5 linked regions of the Oryctolagus cuniculus genome follow. The protein of the gene in region 1 purifies or fractionates together with the protein of each later gene. This does not show direct contact. Links are inferred from orthologs where the notes say so. Each region holds a gene or a part of one and is shown in the gene's direction. Other genes may lie near its edges.

Region 1 (4,870 bases):
GCAACCTGAGAAACAAATGTGGAACACTTAACCAGCCGCAATCTACCTCCCCTCATTTAACTGTGTCTTCATTTCCCCTTTTCCTCCCAAGCAGCAGTTGATACCCATTGAGCACAGCTCTCCTTTTTACCATGCAATACCTAAACATCAGGGACTCCTTAGCCCAGGTTATTTGTAAAATAAAGAAATCTCTAGCTCACACTAGGTTGTGTGGACAGGGTTTCCATCTTTGGAAACCAAAGGAAGCCTTTTTCTTCTTTCCAGATTACTCTCCATTTCCTTTTCCACTTAGGATCCCTGCCTCCCTGGAGCTGACCAGAAGCATGCACAAAACCAGTCTCCAATAAATACCAGCACCGAGGCTTCAGCGGGTTGCTAACTCCTGCAGTGCTATCTTAAAAGGATGTTGTATATAAATGCAGTTTTATGTAGCCTCAGAGGTCCCTAAATATCCCCGGTTTAATTAGCAGTCCTGGAGTTAGGTAATGGCCTGTGGCTCTCTGAGCTGGGCCTCCTGAGGTTTCTAGTCTTCAGGGGCTGCCTGTAATGATGATGTGCACATTTACAATCTTCCTCACAAGAAAACTCGGCTTTAGACCTTTCTAGGTATCTACTCACCATTTATCACAACACATGTGCCAACTGATTCCCATTTTCTCAGATGTCAAAAAAAAAAAAAAAAAAAAAAAAAGAAAAAAAGAGAAAAAGAAAAAAACAACCTAGGGCTTCAGCCTGGTCTAAGTCAGATACTTCTGAACTCAAATTTTCCCCTGGAATTCTACTTTCCTGGAGCGGGGCGCCGGGTGGGGTGGGAGGAGAGTGGGGGGAAATGAAAGAGAGAAAAAAAAATTCGTAGGTTGGTGTTGGTTGACGCCCCTTCTCATTTTGAAGCTGACTGATGTGCGTATTTTGGGGAGGGGGTTGAGGAGGCGCTCTAGGTCTAAGCATTTGTGAACCAGCTCACTCACTGGATAGGTCAACCACGGGGCTGCAGAAAGACTTGACAGGTTTGTTCTGGGCATACGGCCAAGGACTAGACCAGATAAGGCACTTGGCTGAGTCTACAGTAGGTGGGGCGTGCTCACCAGTGCAGGGGTAGCGACTCAAAAGTTTGTTGCAACACCTGCAATCCAAGCAGCAGGCGCAGCGGGAACGAGCCTTTGGCCCCGACAGCACGGAACCAGAGGGTTCACCCCAACCAACGAGGGAGATGCGCCAGATCCCTCGGGCCCGGCCCCTTTTCCCACGGTTGAGAACAAGCAGTGCTTGTCAATCCACAGCAGAGAGAGCTCACTCCGTGGGTAGCAGAAGGGTGAGAGCAGCGGTGCACGGGAGCGGGGGCACGTGCTTGGATGGGGGTGCCTGCCCAGCAGCTAGCCCAGACAGCGATCCTGTGGAGGCTCCACTGGCCATCCCCAACCCCGTCCCTCTGCAGCCTGGGAGGGTGTGGGGGTGCTGCCCGCGCCAGGCGGGAGCACCCCGAGCGTAGCTGGCGAAGCACTTGCCTCCGGAGCTACGCTTGGAGGAGTGGGAATTTGGAAAGTTCCCCAACTCGGAGCACACGTGACCCCTTCCTGAAAGTAGTTCCGACGGTGGCTCGGGTATCCTTCCACCCCCTTTTGAACCCTCCTAGGGCTCCTCGCCCCGCCCACTCGCGGGGCTGCCGCTTCCTACCGTCCTGAACGCCGCGCCCGGGCCGGCAACCTGGGCCTCCAGCGTGCACCGGCCGGCCCGGCGAGCGCGGAAGCTGGCCGCGGGCGATTCATCGTGCCAGGTTTTCTCAGCGGCCCGGAGAGTGGGCGGGGCGAGGCAGCCTCTGAGGACCGAGCTCGAGTTCGACGCCGCGAACGGACCCGGAGCCTGAGGGGACAGATGCTCAGCTCTCCGGGGGCCGCGGAGGGAGCTGTGGGGGTGCGTCCCGCTCACGGGGATCCTCTTTAAGGCGGCCTAGGCAGGAGGCCCTCGGGCCCTGGGAATTCGGGGCGGGGGGCGACGTGTGCACTCTAGCGCGCCCGGCTGAGAGCTTTCGCTTTTCGGGCAAATGAACCGAGTAGCTGGGGCAGCGAGAGGTGGGGCGGTGACTGGAGCCGGATGAGGCGAGACGCGCCGCCGGAGACACAATAGGGGGTCGTTCTTTGTGCTGAGGCTGACACCTTGAGGACCCGGGGGCGGCGGCGGCGGCGGCGGCGCGGGCGCTCTAGGCAGAGGCTGCGACAGTGAGATCCCTGCGAACCGCCGCGATCGTCCACAGCGGGACAAACGGAGTGCGTGCGTTCGCACGCCATGGCGGGGGAGGGGTGTCCTCGCGGCATTTCCCTAGATACTGACCCGCGCGGTCCACCTGTGCACAGGTAACCTCACACTGCAGTCGGCGACACCGCTCAACGCACCAGTCTCAGTTTTCATCATCCACCTTCCTCCGCCCCCACGCCGCCCCGCCGCAGTCTGCCCTGGCTCCGGCCGGGTGTCCGGGCAGAGGCCGAGGCTGAGCTCGTTCCCCCGCCCCGAGCTGCTGCAGGAGCAGCCGCGGCAAGTGCAGCTACGGGCGGGCGCCTCGGAACAAGCCCGAGCGAGCCCCAGGCAGTCACACTGGGCATGCTCAATAGCACCAGCAGGTTGGGGGCCCTGCGCTCGCACCTGGAGCTGCCGCCCCCGCCCCCCACCCCACCCCGGCGCGGCCCAGCCCTCCCCTCCCCCGGCGCGGTCCCGTCCGCCTCCAGCTCGCCCCCCGCCTCCCCTCGGGCTCCCGAGGCGGCCCGGCTCCCGGCGCGGCGGCGGCGGCGGAGGGGGCGGGCAGGCCGGCGACGGTGATGTGGCGGGACTCTTTGTGCACTGCGGCAGGATACGCGCCCGGGCGCTGGGACGCGGCTGCGCTCAGTTCTCTCCTCTCGGAAGCTGCAGCCATGATGGAAGTTTGAGAGTTGAGCCGCTGTGAGGCTAGGCCCGGCTCAGGCGAGGGAGATGAGAGACGGCGGCGGCCGCGGCCCAGAGCCCCTCTCAGCGCCTGTGAGCAGCCGCGGGGGCAGCGCCCTCCGGGAGCCGGCCGGCCTGCGGCGGCGGCAGCGGCGGCGTTTCTCGCCTCCTCTTCGTCTTCTCTTCTAACCGTGCAGCCTCTTCCTCGGCTTTTCTTGCGAGGGAAGGTGGAAGCCGTGGGCTCAGGCGGGAGCCGGCTGAGGCGCGGCGGCGGCGGCGGCGGCGGCGGCACCTCCCGCTCCTGGAGCGGGGGGGAGAAGCGGCGGCGGCGGCGGCGGCCGCGGCGGCTGCAGCTCCCGGGAGGGGTTCGGAGCCGCCTGTCACCATTTCCAGGGCTGGGAACGCCGGAGAGTTGGTCTCTCCCCTTCTACTGCCTCCAACACGGCGGCGGCGGCGGCGGCACATCCAGGGACCCGGGCCGGTTTTAAACCTTCCCTCCGCCGCCGCCGCACTCTCCCTGGCCCGGGCTCCGGAGGCCGCCGGAGGAGGCAGCCGTTCCGAGGATTATTCGTCTTCTCCCCATTCCGCTGCCGCCGCTGCCAGGCCTCTGGCTGCTGAGGAGAAGCAGGCCCAGTCGCTGCAACCATCCAGCAGCCGCCGCAGCAGCCATTACCCGGCTGCGGTCCAGAGCCAAGCGGCAGCAGAGCGAGGGGCATCAGCTACCGCCAAGTCCAGAGCCATTTCCATTCTACAGAAGAAGCCCCGCCACCAGCAGCTTCTGCCATCTCTCTCCTCCTTTTTCTTCAGCCACAGGCTCCCAGACATGACAGCCATCATCAAAGAGATCGTTAGCAGAAACAAAAGGAGATATCAAGAGGATGGATTCGACTTAGACTTGACCTGTATCCATTTCTGCAGCGGCAGCTCTCTGCCTTTCTGTCACTCGCATAACGTGGGAGTAGACGAGTGCGAAAATGTTCCGTAGTTTGGGGTAGCTGTAGCGTTGAGCCCTGGTCAGATTTCCAGAGCATGGATTTTTGTGTCTCTTTTCGGGTGTATTCCGCCCAGGGTGTGTTCAGCTAGACGGAACTCGTGCCTGGTTGCAAGTGTCAAGGCACTGATTGGTTTCGTAGTGCATGTATGTGGTCTCTTCCTAAGGGCCATTGTCCGTTAATGCCGAATACTGTACACTGTTGATGGATTAGTGGGCTCGATAATCCGGTCTTGTAGGTGAACGAAAAAGTAGACGCTTGGAGATTGAGCATATTTCGATTCAATCTTGTTAGGCCCTAGATCAAGGGTATAGATCAGATTAAAATGAAAATTAGTGTTCCGCGTCCGCATATTGCATCAGAATCGCGCAGTGATTTGTTTTTAGTTTCTAGGGTTGCATTGGTAGATTCTTTTAAAAATGTGAATTGTGGACTGATTGGTGTAAGTTTAGAAGCAAAACCATTTTCAGTATATGTGGTGTGTGTGGGGAGGGCAAAAGTAGGTTTGTATGTGTAAATGAAGTTAATTACAGCTTGCAACTGCACTTAGAAGTTTTGTAGTTTGAAATCAGTAGTGCCACAGTGCACCTTATAAGGTTCGATTCACTAAATCTTTGTTCAGTTAGCCGTTTTCTCTCCTAGTGGGTGATGTAGAATCCGGAGTAAAATTTGCATTTCCAGTAGCGTTTTATGTTGAATGCTCTTTTCATGATGGAATGGAGACTGAGTAGTTCTTGATCCCAGATGATAATGTGCAGGTTCAAGGGTAATGTGTGTAGCAAGTAGTAGTTGCAGAGATTAAACCTCAGTTCTCACTTGAAATGTAAGTATTACTGTGATGCCAGAATTAGTACTCACCTTCTTCAGGTTTCAGGTCCTCTGACACCTTTTGGGTATCCGTTAATTCTACTCTGATTTACGTGCAATGTCAGATATAATCTACCAGCTAATATCCAGAAATGGTA
Region 2 (4,177 bases), on another chromosome or scaffold:
GATAGTGACTGCATTATATTCTTTAGCAAGTCATCTGATCTGTGTTGGTTTCATCTGTGAAATAGGGGATAGCCTGCCTTTATTTGTAGTTGTACAGTGTATATCTATTATATATGGTATTCTAGCGTAGTTTCAAGGCCAGAATTTTCAGCAGTGACCTATATGCTATTACAAGCTCTTTTATTAATAGTAATAAGGTTTTCAAACTTTGGCAAGTCATTTGATCTAACTGGATTTCAGTTTTCCTATTTGCAAAGTAAGGGAATATGATTCATTAGTGGTTATTAACCAGATTTGCACATGAGACTCATCTGAATCACCCTAGAAAATCTGATTAAATTTATTTGGACCAATTATGTGTGTTTGTACAAAGCCAGGAGCCAGGAACTCCATCCAGATCTCCCTTGTGCGTGGGTGGCAGAGTCCCAGATACTTGGGCCATCTTCCACTGCTTTCCCAGGTGCATTATCAGGGAGCTGGATGGGAAGTGAAGCAGCTAGGATTCAACCCAGTGCTCATGGGATGCCAGCATTGCAAGCGGCAGCTTAACACACTAAGTCACAAAGCCTGCCCCTCAACATAATTTGTAATTTAAAAATTTGTACTGGTTCATGAACTGGTAAGATATATTGAATTAAAGGAACAGTTGGGAACTTGTAGGGAGGAATATGAAAATGTTGGTACTTGTGACTGTAAAGTCTTTGAAGGACTGATTGGATTCATTCAAAAACATTTATGTGCTTGTTGACATACAGTAGTAGTCTAAAACAGCTTTAGACATGAATGTTTAACTAAGGAATATAATTGTTTATGTAGATAATGACATACCCTCAAGTACTTGTTTTATCTTCAAATAGTAGAAATATTTTCCTATTAACAGTTTTATAATAATGATAAGAATTTTCAATTAAATAATAACAAATAACAAGTATGTTCTAGAAATAATATGTTACATTGTCTCTTTTTTGTGTCTTATTAGGGCACGTAATATTAATAAAGAACAAGGCCAGAACATGTTGGAATTCTTACAAGACTGTTTTGAAGAAAGAAGTAAGGTTTTATTTCTAGATGAAATTCTGACAGTTGCAATGGATAAAAATATAAATTTGTCCTAATAAATGTAGCAAACATGTTTCTAGCATTTAAATATATATTCAGAATTTTGAGTACATATGCAATCCCTCATGTATTCCTGATATACTTAGGATAATGTTGACAAAAATGACAATTTTCATCCCCATATCTGGTGATTTACATCCCATTCTAAGGAAGTTATGAATTATAGCAAAAACTTTTCAAGTGAGCATCAGAAAGTATTGGAGTAAGAATAGGCAAACCATAAGAAATAAGGATAGATGGTAGATATTATGGTTTGAGTTAGTCTCGAAAACATGTTGGGACCCTTAATCCCTAATGCAGCTGTGTTAAGAGGTGAGACCTTTGACAGGTGATTAGATTGTGAGAGCTGTACCGTCATGAATGAATGAATGCTGATTACAAAAGGCTTGAGGTTAGTAATTTAATCTTGATCTCTGGCATGCTGTCTTGCCCTTCTGCCTGCTGCCTCACCAGTTAAATCTCCATGACTTACCAGCCTTCACGATTTTAAGGTACAAATTTCTGTTCTTTGTAAATTGCCCATTGTTAGTGGAAAGATACCTCTTTGTACAAGCTCTGAGCAAAGAGCTGGCACATACTTCTTGAGGAGTCTTGTTTGCCTTTCTCAGTTTTTGATACCTTTCAGGAGCATTTGAATAGTTGAGTATTGTACTTTATTTAAGCTAATTGTGTTTAAAGAGGCAACAGCCACTTTTTCAAGTGTCATATAGAACTACTTTTAATGAAAGCCAATAGATATTATACTATGTTTCATAAATTTCTTCTAGGTCTTGCTAATGACTTTAGCACAAATTCTACAAAATCAGTGCTTTGTTCAACACCCAAAGTAAAAGACAGTTGTTTTCAGTCACCAGGCAAAGAGGTAAGTCCAAAAGAAGAACTGGTATAATAATTTAATGAAAGAAGTGGTTAATATACTATGAACATTTTAGTTTGTAAATCTGAAAGGAAATTCTGTAATCCTATTCATTTTCTATAAAATTTGAGACAGTATTTACAAATTATGATTTGATACATTTTGTGTTTGAAATTGAGAGTCTAGGAATTATAAAAATCATTTGATCATTTCTCCTAAAATAATATCTAATTTTGTTTTTAGAAAAGTGAGCAATTATTGAAGTTCCAGAACAGATTTACAAATCTGATTATTTTTTGAAAATTGCAGGCATTCTGTTGCTATCCAGCGAAATTAATCTTTTGTTGATTATGTCTTAAGAGGATAGCATGACAACTATACATATTTATTTACAGTTTTTAAAGCTAATCATCCAAGATAGATTATTCAAAAACACAGTACTAATCAGAAAAATTATGTGGTCCTAGAAGTAACATTTACTAAAAACTTATAAATAATCAACATTTTAAACATATAGTGTTTGATTCCAAGGAATGAAGACATAGCTGTTTTTTTTTTCAGAATTAAAAGGCCTTTGGTAGTGTGACAAATTACATGGATTTTTTATAAAGTCAACTTTATGTTTCTTGGTATGAACTGACTTGACCATAAATCAGATCTTCTGATCAGATTTGCTAATATATATTTATGTATTTCCATATGTGTTCATGAGTATTTTTTTTCTTAAAATGTTCTGTAGGGCTTTGAGGATTATGCTAGAGGTTCCTCTTCTGGATAGTATGTAATAGGTTTCTTTCTTTTTTTCAATATATTGCTCATTTACACAATTTTTTTGTCAGAGGTCATACTTCATCATTAGCATTTTCAAAAAAATTAATCTACTGATTCTACTATTTTATTCTCTTTCCCATCATTTTGCAAATTTTTCTTTTTAATTCTCAAGATCAATGGCATTATCTGTATAGATATTTACATAGTTGCTCAAATCATATTAGGATATAAACACTAGATACTCTCCAGTTCTGATTTCTTGACTCTTAGCTATTTCTTCTAGATATTTTGCCTCTAGTATTTATACCATTATTGTTTATGGAAGTTTAAGCTGTGTTTGTCATTACACTCTTGCTTTCTACCAGAACATATGCACTTCTACTTTTTAGCACTTTATGCTATAATTTTGGTAAGACAGTATTTATTTTTTAAACTATTAAGACTAAGTATACACTGTAGAATACTAGAGGCTAAATTTTCTTCATGTAGTTATTTTTTGTTTATAATTATTTTTATAGCTGTTTTTTTCTTGATTTAATTTTCTTGGTTTTTCCATTTTTTGACCTTCTGAGCACCTGTGACTGATTCATTATGAGTATCTGTGACAAAAGTATAATTGTCTTCTTTTTTTGTTTTTAAAGATCTTTTATTTATTTGAGAGGTAGAGTTACAGAGTGAGAGGGAGAGACAGAGAGAAAGGTCTTCCTTCTGTTGGTTCACTCCCCAAATGGCTGCAACGGCCAGAGCTGTGTGGATCTGAAGCCATCCTCTATTGCTTTCCCAGGCCATAGCAGAGAGCTGGATTGGAAGAGGAACAGGCGGTACTAGAACCGGTGCTCACATGGGATGCTGGCGCCGCAGGCAGAGGATTAACCTACTGTGTCATGGTGCCGGCTCCATAAATGTCTTCTAAGTATAAGCAGATACTTCAAGTAATTAATCATTTTCAGTTTTTTTTTCTGGAGATACCTTTCTTAGATTATTTTTTTTCTTCATCTGTCTACTTTAAGGCTTGTCACAGAGATAATACTATGTGATCTACAAAATCTTTTTGCTTTTGTGAATTGCACGTTATACTTCTTGAATCATAAGTATTCCTTTTTCTTGGTCTCTTCTTTAGATTCCTGAGAATTAAAACCTTACAAGTATGAAAATACCTTGATTTTACCCTCTTGATGGATAATTTGGGTGGGTACAGAATTCTAAGTTAGAAATTATTTTCTCAAAAAGTTTTGAAAAATAACTTATTTGAGAGGTGGAAAGATAATTAGAGATACTCAGAAATCTTCCATTGTCTGGTTCATTCTCCAAGTGCCCATGTTGGACAGGGCCAGTCCAAAGCCTGGAACCAGAAGTCTGGAATCCAATCTAGGTATTCCGTATGGGTGACAGGGACCCAACTAGTTGAGCTATTAGCTGCTGCTTTCCAGG
Region 3 (4,884 bases), on another chromosome or scaffold:
GAACCCAATGGCTTGAGCCATCGTCCTCGACGCCTCCCGAGGTCTGTATTAGCAGGAAGGCGGAGTCAGGAGCTGGAGCTGGGGCTTGAACTCAGGTCCTCTGATGTGGGACGTGGACACTGAAATCCAGGCTAAATGCCCGCCTCATTATCATAATAAAAAATCTTTTTTGCTGAAGCAACATTACTATAAAAACATGGACTACTATAAATTGTCACTGGACTTGGTGTCCCTTCCAGTGTCTATCCATATGCACTTGTAATCATAGAACAGACATAATGATAGATCCTATTTCCCCCGCATTTTGTTAAAAACATTTTCAAACAGAGGAAGTTGAAAAATAACAACTCTTACTCCAGTAACTGTTAACATTTTGCCATATTTGCTTTCTCTATATATGTTTGTGTTTATATGAATTCTATTTTTTTTTTGCTGAACTATTATAAAGTTTGCAAGCATTATGATATTCACAACTAAATTTAGAACGAATCTCCTAACAATGAGGGTGTTCTTCATTTATTTATTTGAGATTTATTTATCTGTTTGAAAGTCAGAGTTACAGAGAGAGAGGCAGGGACAGAGAGAATCTCCCATCTGGTTCGCTCCCCAGATGACCACAACAGCTAGGGCTGGGCCAGGCTGAAGCCAGGAGCCTGGAGCTTCTTCCAGGTCTCCCACATGGGTAGCAGGGGCCCAAGCACTTGGGCCATCCTCTGCCGCTCTTCCCAGGCCATTAGTGGGGAGCTGGATCTGAAGTAGAGCTGCCAGGACAGGAGCCAGCACCCATATGAGATGCTGGTCTTGCAGATGGTGGCTTTGCCAGCTTCGCCACAATGCTGGCCTGGGGGCATTCTCTTCACAAGCTCAACATCATCATCACGTGATGAAAGTCAGCAGTAATTCACTCATCATCTATATGTAACCCGATTTCTGATCTGTCTATCACAAAACAAGCCGCAGGGGCCAGCAGCGGGCATCCCACAGGGACTCTGGTTCAAGTCCCGGCTGCTCCACTTCCAGCCCATCTCCCTGCTAATGCACCTGGGAAAGCAGCGGAAGACGGCCCACGTACTTGGGCCCCCTATGTCGGAGACCCGGATCCAGCTCCTGGCTCCTGGCTCCGGCCTGGCCCAGTCCTGGACGCTTGGGTCATCTGGGGAGCGAACCAGCGGATGGAAGATTTCTCTCTCTCTGTAACTCTGACAACCAATCCTGAAAACAAACAGTAACACCAGCTTGCAACACTGGGGATTCCACCGAGACCCAATGTATCTCACTGCGGCGTCTTTGTAGCGCTTCCTCCGCACACTGCCCGGCCACTGGGGCTGCGCCGGCTGCAGGATGCATCACCGGGGGCTGCTCGACCCGGGCTCCCCGTGGGCGCGTGACAGCCGCACACACGGTGGCAGCCCGCGCTCGGGGGGCTCCCCGGACCCAGGATGGTGGCCAGGCCTCACGGCAGGCGCTTCACCTGTGTGCCTGGCTTCGGTGCTTCTGGCTTTGGGTTTGCAATGCCCGCGTAAGGCGTGGCTCGGAGCCAGGGCCCCGGCAGAACCGCGAGGGAAGCAGTGAACGAACGCACGGGAGGGCGACTCCGCTAATCTGGAGACGCCCTCCTCGGGGGTCTGATCAGCCAAGGGAGACTCTCCTGGAGCAGCGAGGGCCCCGGGGGCTGGGGGCACTAGCTCCCCCTGCACCTGCACGCCCTCTCCCCATCAGGCCCGCACCTGCCCGAGCCGGCGGGGCTCACAGTCCACCGGCCCGGCTCCCGCGGCCGCCCGGCCCGGCCGGAGGCGCCCGCGCACGCCCACCTGCCGGCCGCGCACGCGCAGCAGCGCCCCGGCCGCCCGCGCCCCGCGGCGCGCCGCCAGTGCGCAGGCGCGGCGGCCGATGCGAGTGTGTATGTGCGGGCGAGAAGATGGCGGCGGCGGGGGAAGCAGCGTGAGCCGCCGGGCCGCGCCGAGTCCCATTCAAACGGGCCGCCATGGCCCTCCGCAGCCCGCAGGTAGCCGGCGGCCCGCGCCCCCGGCCGGAAGGGGCCCGAGCCTGGGGGAGCGCGCGCGGGCGCGGGCGGCCGGGAGCGAGCGTGTGGGGTGGGGGAGGGCGCGGGACCCGCCGCCCGGGCCTAGGCCCCGGGGCCGCCGCCGCCGCCCGGTTCCCGCTCCCCAGTCCCCGGCCCCGCGGCTTCCCGGGGCGAGCGGGGCGCGGCGCGGCCCCGGGGTCTCTGGCGGCGCCGTCGGCGCGCCCGGGCCTGCCGCCGCCGCCCGCGCCCCGCGCCCCACGCCCCCGGGCCGCCCCCAGCGCCGTGGACCCCGCGGGACCCGCCGGCGCGGGTGGGCCGGGGGCCGGGGCCGCTGAGGACAGCGGCGCGGGCGTGCGGGTGCCGCGGGGCCCGGGGCGGCGCCGGCGGGGGGCGCGGCGGCGGGGGTCCCCTGTCGCGCACGGGGGGGAGGTGCTGGGGGCGCGGGGCGCGGGCTGGGGGTCGCGCCGGCCGTGGACCCCGGGCTGGGCGCCGGCTGAGCCCCGGGCCCCGGCGCCGGCGCCTGGGCGGCCGCCGCGCGCCTCTGAATGAGAGGTGGGAGAGCGGCACAAAGTAGGTGCGGGGCGGGCGGCGGGGCAGCTCCCGCCTTGCCGCGCCGCTTTGTTGGCGGCGGCTCCCCCGGGCGGGCCGCGGGCCTTTCCTTAAATATGCACGGACAGCACCTCTCGGGGGGCTCCGCTCTTGGGGCGCCCGCTCCGGCGTGCCGTCGGAACTTCCCGGTACTCGGGTCGCCGGGCAGCCGGTGCGTCGCGGGCTTTTCCCCCGGGAGGCCTGGCGTGCGTTTCTGCGGGCTTCGCGTGCACAGAGGCTCCCGCACTTCCTATACTCGGTGCCCGGGCTCGTTCGCGGAGGCCACGCGTGCCTCCTGGCGATGGCCTTTGCGTCCGTGGCCCGGGACTTGTGCCTCTGGCCAGCGCGAGACTGACCTGCGCCTCGGGGCCGAGCGCGGTTGGACCCCTCTTCCTTTCCTGTCTAAAAGAGAGTGGTGGAAGGAAGCAGTGGCGTCCTGAGCAGGGTTTGGCTGTTGGACCGGCCGGGTCTCGGTCACGCTGTCCCGAGAGTCTGGGCGCTTGGGGCCCCGTCATTCATTCAGCAGCGATCGCCGAGCCCCGAGCCAGGCAGGCTGACCCGGTACGAGGTAGCTATCGCAGTAGCAGCCCCAGTTAGCCTCCTTTACAACCGACTTGTTAAGGCTACAGTTTTACAGTTTTGTGTGGATTGTAGCCTGTTTCCATCATACTGGGAAGTGTTGGTTGAGCCCATTCCCTGCGCGGAAGTGGAGCAGTGAAGTTGGAAACATTTTGAGTGCCGCTGGCTTGGGAGGGTTGAACCCTGTTGAAGAGTAAGTGTGTCTGCTCCATGAGTGTCTGTGGTCCCGAGGGACCTGCGAGTGCCTGGCTGACGCCTCCCTGCCCCGGAGCCTCACAGCGCTGAGCGCCCCCCCCCCCAGTCTTCATCCCCTGGGGGCTGTGGGGACCCGCCGGGTGTGGTGACATTCCTGCAGTGTGCTGGGGTACTGACTGTATGTAGAGGGCGCATCCCGAGACTAGATGCGATGCCACAGGTGTGTGTTCTCTGTCACCTGAGTGGGCGTGGCGTGTCTGGTGCCAGCGGCCCCCATCCAGGGCCTGTCCTCCGTGTGGCTGGGCCCAGAGTGTTCTGAAGTGGCCCTGAGAGAAGCGTGGCCCCCTGCCCTCTGGGTTCCTCTCCAGAGCAGACGCCGGGCCCGTGTTCCAGCGCTGTCAGGGGAAGGGACGTGGCCCTGAGGCTGGACGCCGGCTTTCAGCCCAGACCTGGGGGCGTGGGCACATGCCGTGCTCAGAACACACTCAAGGGGTGGGGGAACCGGGGTCGTCTCCACTCGAATTAGTTACAGTGAGGCTATTTCGTTTTGCCTTCTTTTTTAAATTTATTTATTTGTTTGGAAGAGTTACAGAGAGCAAAGGGAAGATGTACAGAGAGAGAGAGAGAGACCTTCCGACTGTTGGACACTCCCCAGATGGCCGCAGTGGCTTCTTCTGGGTCTCTCACGGGTAAAGGGGCCTAAGCACTCGGGCCACCTTCTGCTGCTTTCCCAGGCCGTTAGCAGGGAGCTGGATCACAAGAGGAGCAGCCAGGACTCGAACCGGTGCCCATGTTGGAAGTTGGCATTACACACGATGGCTTTACCTCCTGCGCCGTGACACTGGCCTCTTGCTTTTTTATTTTTTATATATTTTTAATGCAGATTTCAGACCTGTAGGTGACTCTTGCTAGGTCTGCTTCCCCGTTAAGCCTGGCTGCTGAGGGCGCCGCTCCTGCTGGCCTGCTGGAGAGTGAAGGGTTAGGACGTGCTTGCTCTTGAATTTGCACGCGGCTGCCCCGCTTCTATTCACTGCCGCACATGCAGGAATCACCGTGGCACAAAGCAGACAAATCTGTCTGCGGTGGAGTTTGCTGGCCTGGGGCCGCTGGATTACTGTCATCTGTCACTTTAGTGCCACTTCAGCAGTGTAGGTGTCGTTTCCAAAGACTCGCATGTGCTTGGGCTGCACTTTTCCTGGTGATCGGTGTGGTCACGCAGAGGTCTTTCCGGGACCGTTTTGTCAGTACTGGCTGGGTTAAGAGCTGGGCGGGGGGGCAGCGCTGTGGCGTAGCGGGTAAAGCTGCTGCCTCCAGTGCCAGCATCCGTATGGGTGGCTGTTTGAGTCCCGGCTGCTCTACTTCTGCTCCAGCTCTCTGCTGTGCTATGGCCTGGGAAAGCAGCGGAAGATGGCCGTGTGGGAAACCCAAAAGAAGCTCCTGGCTCCTGGCTTTGGATTGGCACAGCTCTGGCCATTGTGGCCAATTGGAGAGTGACCTGG
Region 4 (4,685 bases), on another chromosome or scaffold:
CACTTGGTGTCTGCGTCCCACAGGGGTGCCTGGGTGTGATGCCTGGCTCCTGACTGCTGCAGATGCAGGCCCCGGTAGGCACCAGGTGATGGACCAGATCCTCGGGTTCCTGTCACCGACATATGAGTTCCCGGCTCAGTCCCGGCTGCTGCGGGCATTCGGGGAGTGAACTAGCAGATGGGAACACTCTATTTTCTGTATGTCTCAAAATAATAATCATTTCAAAAGCAATACTGACCCCGATCCATTGCAGACCTGACGGTGATGCCGGTATCTCAGGAGTGTAAACTCTGGTTTGTTCTGCTCCCTGCTGAGCCGTCTGTACTGTGCTGTGGCTGTTTCCTGCCCCAGCAGACCACTACCCTAAACCCCCTTAAGGGTTTACTATGGGGAACGACAGATTTTCCTTCCATCTGCCTAAAACCTTTCGAGTTTTTGTAGCATTGATTTATTTTTTTTATTTATTTTATTTTTTTATTATTATTTTTTTTACAGGCAGAGTGGACAGTGAGTGAGAGAGACAGAGAGAAAGGTCTTGCTTTTGCCATTGGTTCACCCTCCAATGGCCGCCACAGCTGGCGCGCCGTGCTGATCTGAAGGCAGGAGCCAGGTGCTTCTCCTGGTCTCCCATGGGGTGCAGGGCCCAAGCACTTGGGCCATCCTCCACTGCACTCCCTGGCCACAGCAGAGAGCTGGCCTGGAAGAGGGGCAACCGGGATAGAATCCGGCGCCCCTACCGGGATTAGAACCCGGTGTGCCGGCGCTGCAAGGTGGAGGATTAGCCTAGTGAGCCGCGGCGCCGGCTGTAGGATTGATTTATTTAATTTGAAAACTCAATTTTCTTAGACATTTAATTTGAAAAAATATTTTGAGATTCCCCATTTGCTGGTCCTCTTCCCAAATAGCCATGGCTCCAGAAGCCTGGGCTGGGTCAGGCTGAAGCCGGGAGACTCCATCCAGGTCTCCTATAAGGGTGGCAAGAACTTGGGCCCTCCCGTGCTGATTCGCATTAGCAGGAAGCCAGAATCAAGCAGAGCTGGGATTTGAACCCAAGCACTCCTGAAATGGGGATCCCAAGTGGCATCTTTAAAAAAAGATTCATTTATTATGTTTGAAAGGCAGAGTTACAGGGAAAGACGGAGAGAAAGAGAGATCTCACCTGCTGGATCTCTTCAAGTGGCTGCAGCAGCTGGGGCTGTGTCAGAGCAGAGCCAGGAGCTTCTTCCCAGTCTCCCACGCGGGTACAGGGGCCCGAGGACTCGGGCCATCTTCCACTGCTTTCCCAGGCCATAACAGAGAGCTGGATGGGAAGTGGAGCAGCCTTGGGGCTTGCGCTGTGGCATAGCGGGTAAAGCCGCAGCCTGCAGTGCCGACATCCCATATGGGCATAGATTAGAGACCCGGCTGCCCCACTTCCGATCCAGCTCTCTGCAGTGATGGGAAAGCAGCAGTAGAAGATGGCCCAAGTGCTTGGGCCCCTGCACCCGCGTGGGAGACTGGGAAGAAGCTCCTGGCTCCTGGCTTCAGATCGGAGCAGCTCCAGCCGTTGGGGAGTGAACCAATGGATGGAAGACCTCTCTCTGCCTCCCTCTCTCTGTGTATCTCTGACTTTCAAATAAATAAATCAACCTTAAAGAAAAAAGAAGTGGAGCAGCCTGGACTCAAACCGGTGCCCATAGAAGATGTAGGGTCGCAGCCCGTGGCTTCCACTCCCTGAGTGGCATCTTCACCACTGCACCAAACGCCTGCCACACTGTTAACAATTTTTTTTATTAAACATTTTCACTGCCTTGTAAGGATCAAACGGAATACATGGATTTTTTGTAAGCTAACAGTTATTTCTTGAAAATAAACATGATTTTAATATCTAAATTGAAACCTTACAGAAACGCCGACATACTTAGAACATCGCTTGATCGTTATTCTAGAACACGGAGTTGGGCAATGTATTCCCCCACCGGGGGCTCTGCCCTCCAGTCACTCTTGTCGGTGGGAATCCGAGGTGGGCTCGGTGGGCATCACAGCCCCGAGGCCAGGCTCCTCACGGTGCCCCTGGCCTTGGCCCTTACAGCACCGGTGGGCCTCGGGGTCCCGGGACCGCACCGGGGAAGCGGTCCACGCGGCTGAGGCCCCACTTCCCCCGGTCAGTTCCCCAGGGCTGCTTCCGAAACGGACCCCCAGGCTGCATTTCGGACGCGGGCGGGGGTCCTGCCGTCCTCCCTCCCTCGGGCTGTGGCCTCCTTCCCCCCACACGCACGTGCGGGGTTACACCGCGCCCTGATCCACCTGTCGTCGGGGTGCGGGCGAGGTGCGGGGCAGCGCAGGACAGCCCACTGGGCCGCCCCGCGGGCGTCGCACCCACAGGCACGGCCGCGCAGCGCACTCGCCCGCCGTCTCGGCTGAAACCGACATTTTAAAACCCTACACGACCCCATTCCGTGCTTGTTGGATTGACAGCCGCGACATCAGCTCCGCCGGGGAGACACCATGACGTCACTGCGCGTGAACGAAGCGCCACTCGGGGTCGCGGGCCCCCGCAGGGGCGAGCCCGGGAAAGAGAACCACAGACTACGAGAACGCCGGCCTAAGGCGCGCCGCAGCCGCCCCGAGGCGCGGGACGGCGCCACCTTGCAGCGCGCACAGCGCGAGGTGACCCCGGCCGGGGCGGGCAGGGCCGTGCCATCCGCAGCAGGGGGGCGGCGTGCGGAGCGGACGAGACGGAACCCCCCCGTCGCCGTCAGGATGGACTCGGCCGGATGTGACGCAGGGCGACGTAGGCTTGCGCGTTGCGGGGCGCAGGGGCGGGGCCCGGCGAACGTGCGTGCGCGCGTGCGCGTACTTGCGTCTGCCTGAGGTGGGCTCGGGGTGAGTGGTCCGCGGCGTCGCGTCTGCAGGAAGAGGCACCGGGTGCGGGCCGGGCGCGGGAGGGCGCGGGAGGGCGCGGGAGGGCGCGGGAGGGCGCGGGAGGGCGCGGGAGGGCGCGGCGTTGCTGCCGGGGACGCCGGGGCGGACGCAGCACCGCGTCCCGGCCGCCGGGAGGCCGCAGTGTCCACGCCGAGCACCTCCGCAGTGCGGGGGTCGTTAGCCCCGCGGTGTTGGCGTCCGTGGTGTCGCGTCCCGAGCGGGGCGCTGCAGAGGACTCGCCCCCGGGGCGGGCCGCGCGCGCAGGGGTCCTGGGCGGGCGTTCCCGTCTCGGTCCGCCGGGCATCCGCGGCCAGGGAGCCCGGGCCGTGGGCGACGCCCCCGTGCTGAGTGTGCCCCGCCCGTCCCAAGCCCCCGGGGGCGAGTGGCCGGGGCCCGCCGTGACCCTCGGGCCGCCCCGGGGAGCGGCCACGCAGAGCCGCGGTCACGCAGGGCCGTGTCGGGTTCGTGTGGAGGGCGCTTGCTCTGCGGTGGATCGTGAGGAAAGAAACTGAGGAAAACGTGACGGAAACTCCCACGGGGAACCAGGAGCCCCTGAGCGTTCGTGGGGACAGAGTTAGAGACAATGAGTTGACGTGGGCGCCAGCGGCGTTTTGGAGTCCACGCGTAGTGTTTTTCAGGATTTGCAATTCGTTGTCACTATGTGCAACGTCCTTCACGCCCGTGGACTACAGACATTTTGGTGCTGAGATAAACTCTCCATTGTTGACTTTCCGAAGGAGCCTCGCGCTCACGCCGTTAGCGCCAGCCTTGCCAAGTGAGTGTGTCACACACTCACGCCGTTAGCACCAGCCTTGCTGAGCGTGTCTCACACGCTGTTAGCACCAGCCTCACCGAGTGTCTCACACTCAGTGTTAGCACCAGCCTCGCCGAGTGTGTCTCACACTCACAGCGTTAGCACCAGCCTCGCTGAGTGTGTCTCACACTCAGTGTTAGCACCAGCCACACCGAGTGTGTCATACACGCTGTTAGCACCAGCCTCACTGAGTGTCTCACACTCAGTGTTAGCACCAGCCTCGCCGAGTGAGTGTGTCACACACTTGAGCCATTAGCACCAGCCTGGCCGAGTGTGTCACACACTCACAGTGTTAGCACCAGCCTCGCCGAGTGTGTCTCACACTCGCGCCATTAGCATCAGCCCGGCCAAGTGTGTCTCACACAGCGTTAGCACCAGCCTCGCTGAGTGTGTCTCACACTCAGTGTTAGCACAAGCCACACCGAGTGTGTCACACACGCTGTTAGCACCAGCCTCACTGAGTGTGTCTCACACTCACGCCATTAGCGTCAGCCTGGCCGAGTGTGTCTCACAGTGTTAGCACCAGCCTCGCCGAGTGTGTCACACACTCACACAGCGTTAGCACCAGCCTTGCCGAGTGTGTCACACACTCACAGTGTTAGCACCAGCCTCGCCGAGTGTGTCTCACACAGCATTAGCGCCAGCCTCGCCGAGTGTGTCTCACACACTCAAAGCGTTAGCACCAGCCTGGCCGAGTGTGTCTCACACAGCGTTAGCACCAGCCTGGCCGAGTGTGTCACACACTCACACAGCGTTAGTACCCGCCTGGCTGAGTGTGTCTCACACAGCGTTAGCACCAGCCTGGCCGAGTGTGTCTCACATTCACACAGCGTTAGCACCAGACTGGCTGAGTGTGTCTCACACTCACAGCGTTAGCACCAGCCTCGCCGAGTGTGTCTCACACTCAGTGTTAGCACCAGCCTCGGTGAGTGTGTCACACACTCACAGTGTTAGCACCAGCCTGGCC
Region 5 (4,177 bases), on another chromosome or scaffold:
GATTTTATCTGTTAGCTTTGTCTCTGTGATCAAAAAAATGGCTGCCCTCGTTAGATTTCAGCAGTGGACACTCAGTGCAGCGTAGAGCCCTGCAGTCTGACCCTCCTAGAATCTTGTCACAGATGGATGTAAAGGTTCTTGCTTTCTAATTTATAGACTCTTTAGAAATCTCCCTTTTTCTTGCTCCCTCCAAGAAAAAAGAAGAGATTGTACATTAGAAGAGTTTCCTGCCACCCTGTTACAGTCTATTGAAAATGTACTTTTCTGAACTGCAAAGCAAAAAACCTTTTCTCCTACACATGGAAGTCTGAAATCCTCCTGAAACGGATGAGTTTCTGTTTGGGGTTAGAGCATCCCAGCTTTTCATTTGGAAGAGTAAACAGTTTAGTGTGAAATTGGGCAGCTGTTAGCTTCCGAGTGGCGCACTTGCTTAGTTGTCAGGGTACCAGATTGTGTTTGTCTTCTTTTCGTCTCTGTATCCAGGCCTCTGTGTTTGTGATATAGTTTGGAATTGTAGATGCCTTTGAGGCATTTGAAAGTAAACATAACTCTTACAGTTTATTGCTGACATTTTAATTTTCGAAAAACAGAACGCAGTATTTCAGGTTTTTATTTGGCAGGAATGACCTGGGCGTTGTTGCTGGCTGGCTGACAGACAGGTGAGGGGGCGAGGGAGGAGATGTCTCCACAGTGCAGCTGCTGTCCGTGCGCTTTCTGGCTTTCTCCACTGTGTTCTTGGGACTCAGCATGTTGAGTTCAGTTGTTTGTGTTGGGAGCTTCACCAATTGCCGTCTTTTGAGAAGCAGTGTCTGTTATATGAACAGTTACTTAGGTGGACTGCTGTAGTGACGCCTGTTTCAGGGAGGGATCTGATCCAGGACTCACAGCCCTGAGGTGTGGAATGGCTTCTGAGGTCTGGGCCCTGTGTTTGCTGGGAGACCCTACGCTCTCCCAACGTCCACTTGCTGAGGCCCAGGACATTGCCTGACCCTCCTGAGTCAGCCAGCTGGTGAGTGGGCACGAGTTCCTGTTCATTCCTCTCAGGAAGGTGATGTGATTGGGTAGCTCTCTTGTGCCCCCCCTCCCCCCCGCCTCCCCAGGATTGGGAAAGAATCAAAGAATCATGTACGGTTAGCGTTGAAGCTTGACCTCTGAGAGATTTCCGAGGAGGGTCTGGCACGAAACATTGTTTTAGGTAAACTGAGTCCGCATTTGGAAGGTCGTGACCAGTGTTCCTGTTTTGGCAGCAATTGCCTGTTCAGAGCTCTTGGTGACCAGCTGGAGGGACACTCGCGAAATCATCTCAAGCACCGACAGGAGACAGTGGACTTCATGGTGAGGCAGCGGGAAGACTTTGAGCCGTTTGTAGAAGATGATGTTCCTTTCGAGAAGCACGGTAGGTTCACTGTGGGATGCAGAATCTTCTGGAATAATGCAGGGGGTGATTAAGTCCATCCGCATCCCTGGCCTTCCCCTAGGGCTTGATCGTCTGAGTTACAGCTCACTTGTTACTTTGTAATAGGCACCAGTATGCTAGGTAGTTGGCAATCAATAGATGTAAGTATAAATGCCCTTCATGAAAATGAAGTCAGTTGACATGAAAAGCTTGTCCTGACTTCTTACTCAGTGAGGCAGCCTATAAAATAGTGTGTATGGGTGTGGCATGTGGCGCAGTGGTTAGGATGTGGCTTGGGATGGCCACATCCCGTATCAGAGTGCCTGCGTTCAAAGTCTACCTCTGCTTCCTGCTGCTGTGCGCTCAGGGAGACAGCCGTGTTTAAGCACTCGCCTCTTTGACACCATGTGGGAGACCTGGGCTGAGCTCCCAAACTGTTGTAGGCCTTTGGGAGTGAACCAGTGGGCAGAAGATCCCTCTGTTTTTCTCTGTTTATCTGCCTGTCCAATAAAATGGAATTAAAAACAAAATAGTGTGGCTAGACAGGTCCTGTTTTTACAAGGTACACAGATGGTAGGAAAAGTCTGGAAAGGTACACTTTCCAGCAATCACTTGCCCTCTTTAAACTTCTTTTTTTTATTATTATTATTATTATTATTTTTTTTTTTGACAGGCAGAGTGGACAGTGAGAGAGAGAGAGACAGAGAGAAAGGTCTTCCTTTGCCGTTGGTTCACCCTCCAATGGCCGCCGCGGCTGGCGCGCTGTGGCCGGCGCACCGCGCTGATCCGATGGCAGGAGCCAAGAGCCAGGTGCTTTTCCTGGTCTCCCATGGGGTGCAGGGCCCAAGCACCTGGGCCATCCTCCACTGCACTCCCTGGCCACAGCAGAGGGCTGGCCTGGAAGAGGGGCGACCGGGACAGAATCTGGCGCCCCGACCGGGACTAGAACCCAGTGTGCCGGCGCCGTTAGGCAGAGGATTAGCCTAGTGAGCCGCAGCGCCGGCCCTCTTTAAACTTCTATAAAAGGGAGATAATAAAAGCACCTCTTCTGGCCGGCGCCGCGGCTCACTAGGCTAATCCTCCACCTGCGGCGCCGGCACACCAGGTTCTGGTCCCGGTAGGGGTGCCGGATTCTGTCCCGGTTGCCCCTCTTCCAGTCCAGCTCTCTGCTGTGGCCCGGGAGTACAGTGAAGGATGGCCCAGGTCCTTGGGCTCTGCACCCGCATGGGAGACTAGGAGAAGCACCTGGCTCCTGGCTTTGGATCAGCGCGGTGCACTGGCCACAGCAGCCATTGAGGGGTGAACCAATGGTAAAACGAAGACCTTTCTTTCTCTGTCTCTCTCTCTCTCTCACTGTCCACTCTGCTTGTCCAAAAAAAAAAAAACAAAAACAAAAACAAAAAAAAAAAACAAAAAAACAGCTGTCTTACAAGGTTTCTTGGGAAGATTAAATTAGATAACAAAATTAGAAGGAATGCCCATTAAGTATATGCAATTTTAGGATAATGAGACTATGGGTATTTTAAATCAGTAGATTAAAAATATTCATTTATTTTCATTTTATTTGAAAGGCAGAGAGAGATCTCCTGTCTTCTGTTTCATTCCTGAAATGCGTACTGCGTCCATGGCTGTGCCAGGATGAAACCAGCAACCTGAAATTCAGTCCTGATCCCCCATGTGAATATTGGGGACCCACGTACTTGAGCTGTCACCTGCTGCCTCTCAGGGTGTTTATTAACAGGAAGCTAGAATTGAAAGCAGGGCACAGTATTATGGCACAGTGGGTTAAGCTGCTGCCTGGGATGCTGGCATCCTATATGAGCACTGATTTGAGTACTAGCTGCTTTGCTTCCAATCCAGCTCCAGCTAATGTGCCTGGGAAAGCACTGGAGGACAGCCCAAGTACTTGGGTCCCTGCATCCATGTGGGAGACCTGGAAGAAGCTCCTGGCTCCTGGCTTCAGCTTGGCCCAGCTCTGGCCGTTGCAGCCACTTGGGGAGTGAACCAGTGGATGGAAGACCTCTCTCTCTCTGTCTTTCCCTCTCACTTTACCTTTCAAATAAATAAAATAAAAGATGAAGAGTTTTAAAGATTTATTTTATTTATTTGAAAGGCAGGGGCTGGCACTGTGGCATAGTGGGTAAGGCTGCTGCCTGCAGCATATGGGTGCCAGTTCAAGTCCTGGCTGCTCTTCTTCTGATCTAGCTCTCTGCTATGGCCTGGGAAGGCAGTGGAAGATGGCCCAGGTCTTTGGGCCCCTGCACCCTCGTGGGAGACCTGGAGGAAGCTCCTGGCTCCTGGCTTCAGATTGGAACAGCTCCAGCCATTGTAGCCATCTGGGGAGGGTGCAGGGTCCCAAGGACTTGGGCCATCTTCTAGTGCTTTCTCAGGCCATAGCAGAGAGCTGGATCAGAAGTGGAGCAGCCAGATCTCAAACCAGCGCCCATATGGAATGCTGGCACTGCAGGCGGTGGCTTTACTGGCTGCACCACAGTGCCGGACCCAGACCTCTGTCTGTCTACCTCTGCCTCTCTATCACTCTGCCTTTCAGACAAATAAATATTAAAAAGAAAAAATAATGGCCTATAAAAAAAGGCAGAGTGACAGAGAGAGGGTAGAGACCGAGAGAGAAAACTGTTTCATCTACTGGTTCACACCCCAAATGACTGCAATAGTCAGGGCTGGGCCAAGCTAAAGCTAGGAGCTTGGAACTCCATCTGGGTCTCCCATGTGGGTGCAGGGACCAAGTACTTGGACCATCTTCCACTGCTTTCCCAGTGC

What was found.
Region 2: the proteins of PTEN (region 1) and CENPC purify together in Homo sapiens (affinity purification with western blotting; 3 studies listed by BioGRID, with this or other methods). This does not show direct contact. The link is inferred for Oryctolagus cuniculus from reciprocal best matches to the Homo sapiens genes PTEN and CENPC.
Region 3: the proteins of PTEN (region 1) and USP10 purify together in Homo sapiens (affinity purification with western blotting; 4 studies listed by BioGRID, with this or other methods). This does not show direct contact. The link is inferred for Oryctolagus cuniculus from reciprocal best matches to the Homo sapiens genes PTEN and USP10.
Region 4: the proteins of PTEN (region 1) and PARK7 purify together in Homo sapiens (affinity purification with western blotting; 4 studies listed by BioGRID, with this or other methods). This does not show direct contact. The link is inferred for Oryctolagus cuniculus from reciprocal best matches to the Homo sapiens genes PTEN and PARK7.
Region 5: the proteins of PTEN (region 1) and OTUD3 purify together in Homo sapiens (affinity purification with western blotting; 3 studies listed by BioGRID and IntAct, with this or other methods). This does not show direct contact. The link is inferred for Oryctolagus cuniculus from reciprocal best matches to the Homo sapiens genes PTEN and OTUD3.

Annotation. Positions count from the first base shown.
Region 1 is NC_091446.1:42,813,968-42,818,837, reverse strand, and holds the start of PTEN (phosphatidylinositol 3,4,5-trisphosphate 3-phosphatase and dual-specificity protein phosphatase PTEN), read left to right. Parts: upstream 1-1,738; 5' UTR 1,739-1,739; coding exon of another isoform or gene 1,740-1,766; 5' UTR 1,767-2,283; coding exon 2,284-2,351; intron 2,352-2,810; exon of another isoform or gene 2,811-3,720; coding exon 3,721-3,815; intron 3,816-3,978; exon of another isoform or gene 3,979-4,870. UniProt on the Homo sapiens protein: Dual-specificity protein phosphatase, dephosphorylating tyrosine-, serine- and threonine-phosphorylated proteins.
Region 2 is NC_091439.1:97,746,792-97,750,968, forward strand, and holds part of CENPC (centromere protein C), read left to right. Parts: intron 1-979; coding exon 980-1,050; intron 1,051-1,886; coding exon 1,887-1,981; intron 1,982-4,177. UniProt on the Homo sapiens protein: Component of the CENPA-NAC (nucleosome-associated) complex, a complex that plays a central role in assembly of kinetochore proteins, mitotic progression and chromosome segregation.
Region 3 is NC_091449.1:66,212,962-66,217,845, forward strand, and holds the start of USP10 (ubiquitin carboxyl-terminal hydrolase 10), read left to right. Parts: upstream 1-1,867; 5' UTR 1,868-1,984; coding exon 1,985-2,005; intron 2,006-4,884. UniProt on the Homo sapiens protein: Hydrolase that can remove conjugated ubiquitin from target proteins such as p53/TP53, RPS2/us5, RPS3/us3, RPS10/eS10, BECN1, SNX3 and CFTR.
Region 4 is NC_091438.1:159,774,764-159,779,448, reverse strand, and holds the start of PARK7 (Parkinson disease protein 7), read left to right. Parts: upstream 1-1,768; 5' UTR 1,769-2,865; exon of another isoform or gene 2,866-2,907; intron 2,908-3,523; exon of another isoform or gene 3,524-3,679; intron 3,680-4,685. UniProt on the Homo sapiens protein: Multifunctional protein with controversial molecular function which plays an important role in cell protection against oxidative stress and cell death acting as oxidative stress sensor and redox-sensitive chaperone and protease.
Region 5 is NC_091438.1:150,770,161-150,774,337, reverse strand, and holds part of OTUD3 (OTU domain-containing protein 3), read left to right. Parts: intron 1-1,247; coding exon 1,248-1,396; intron 1,397-4,177.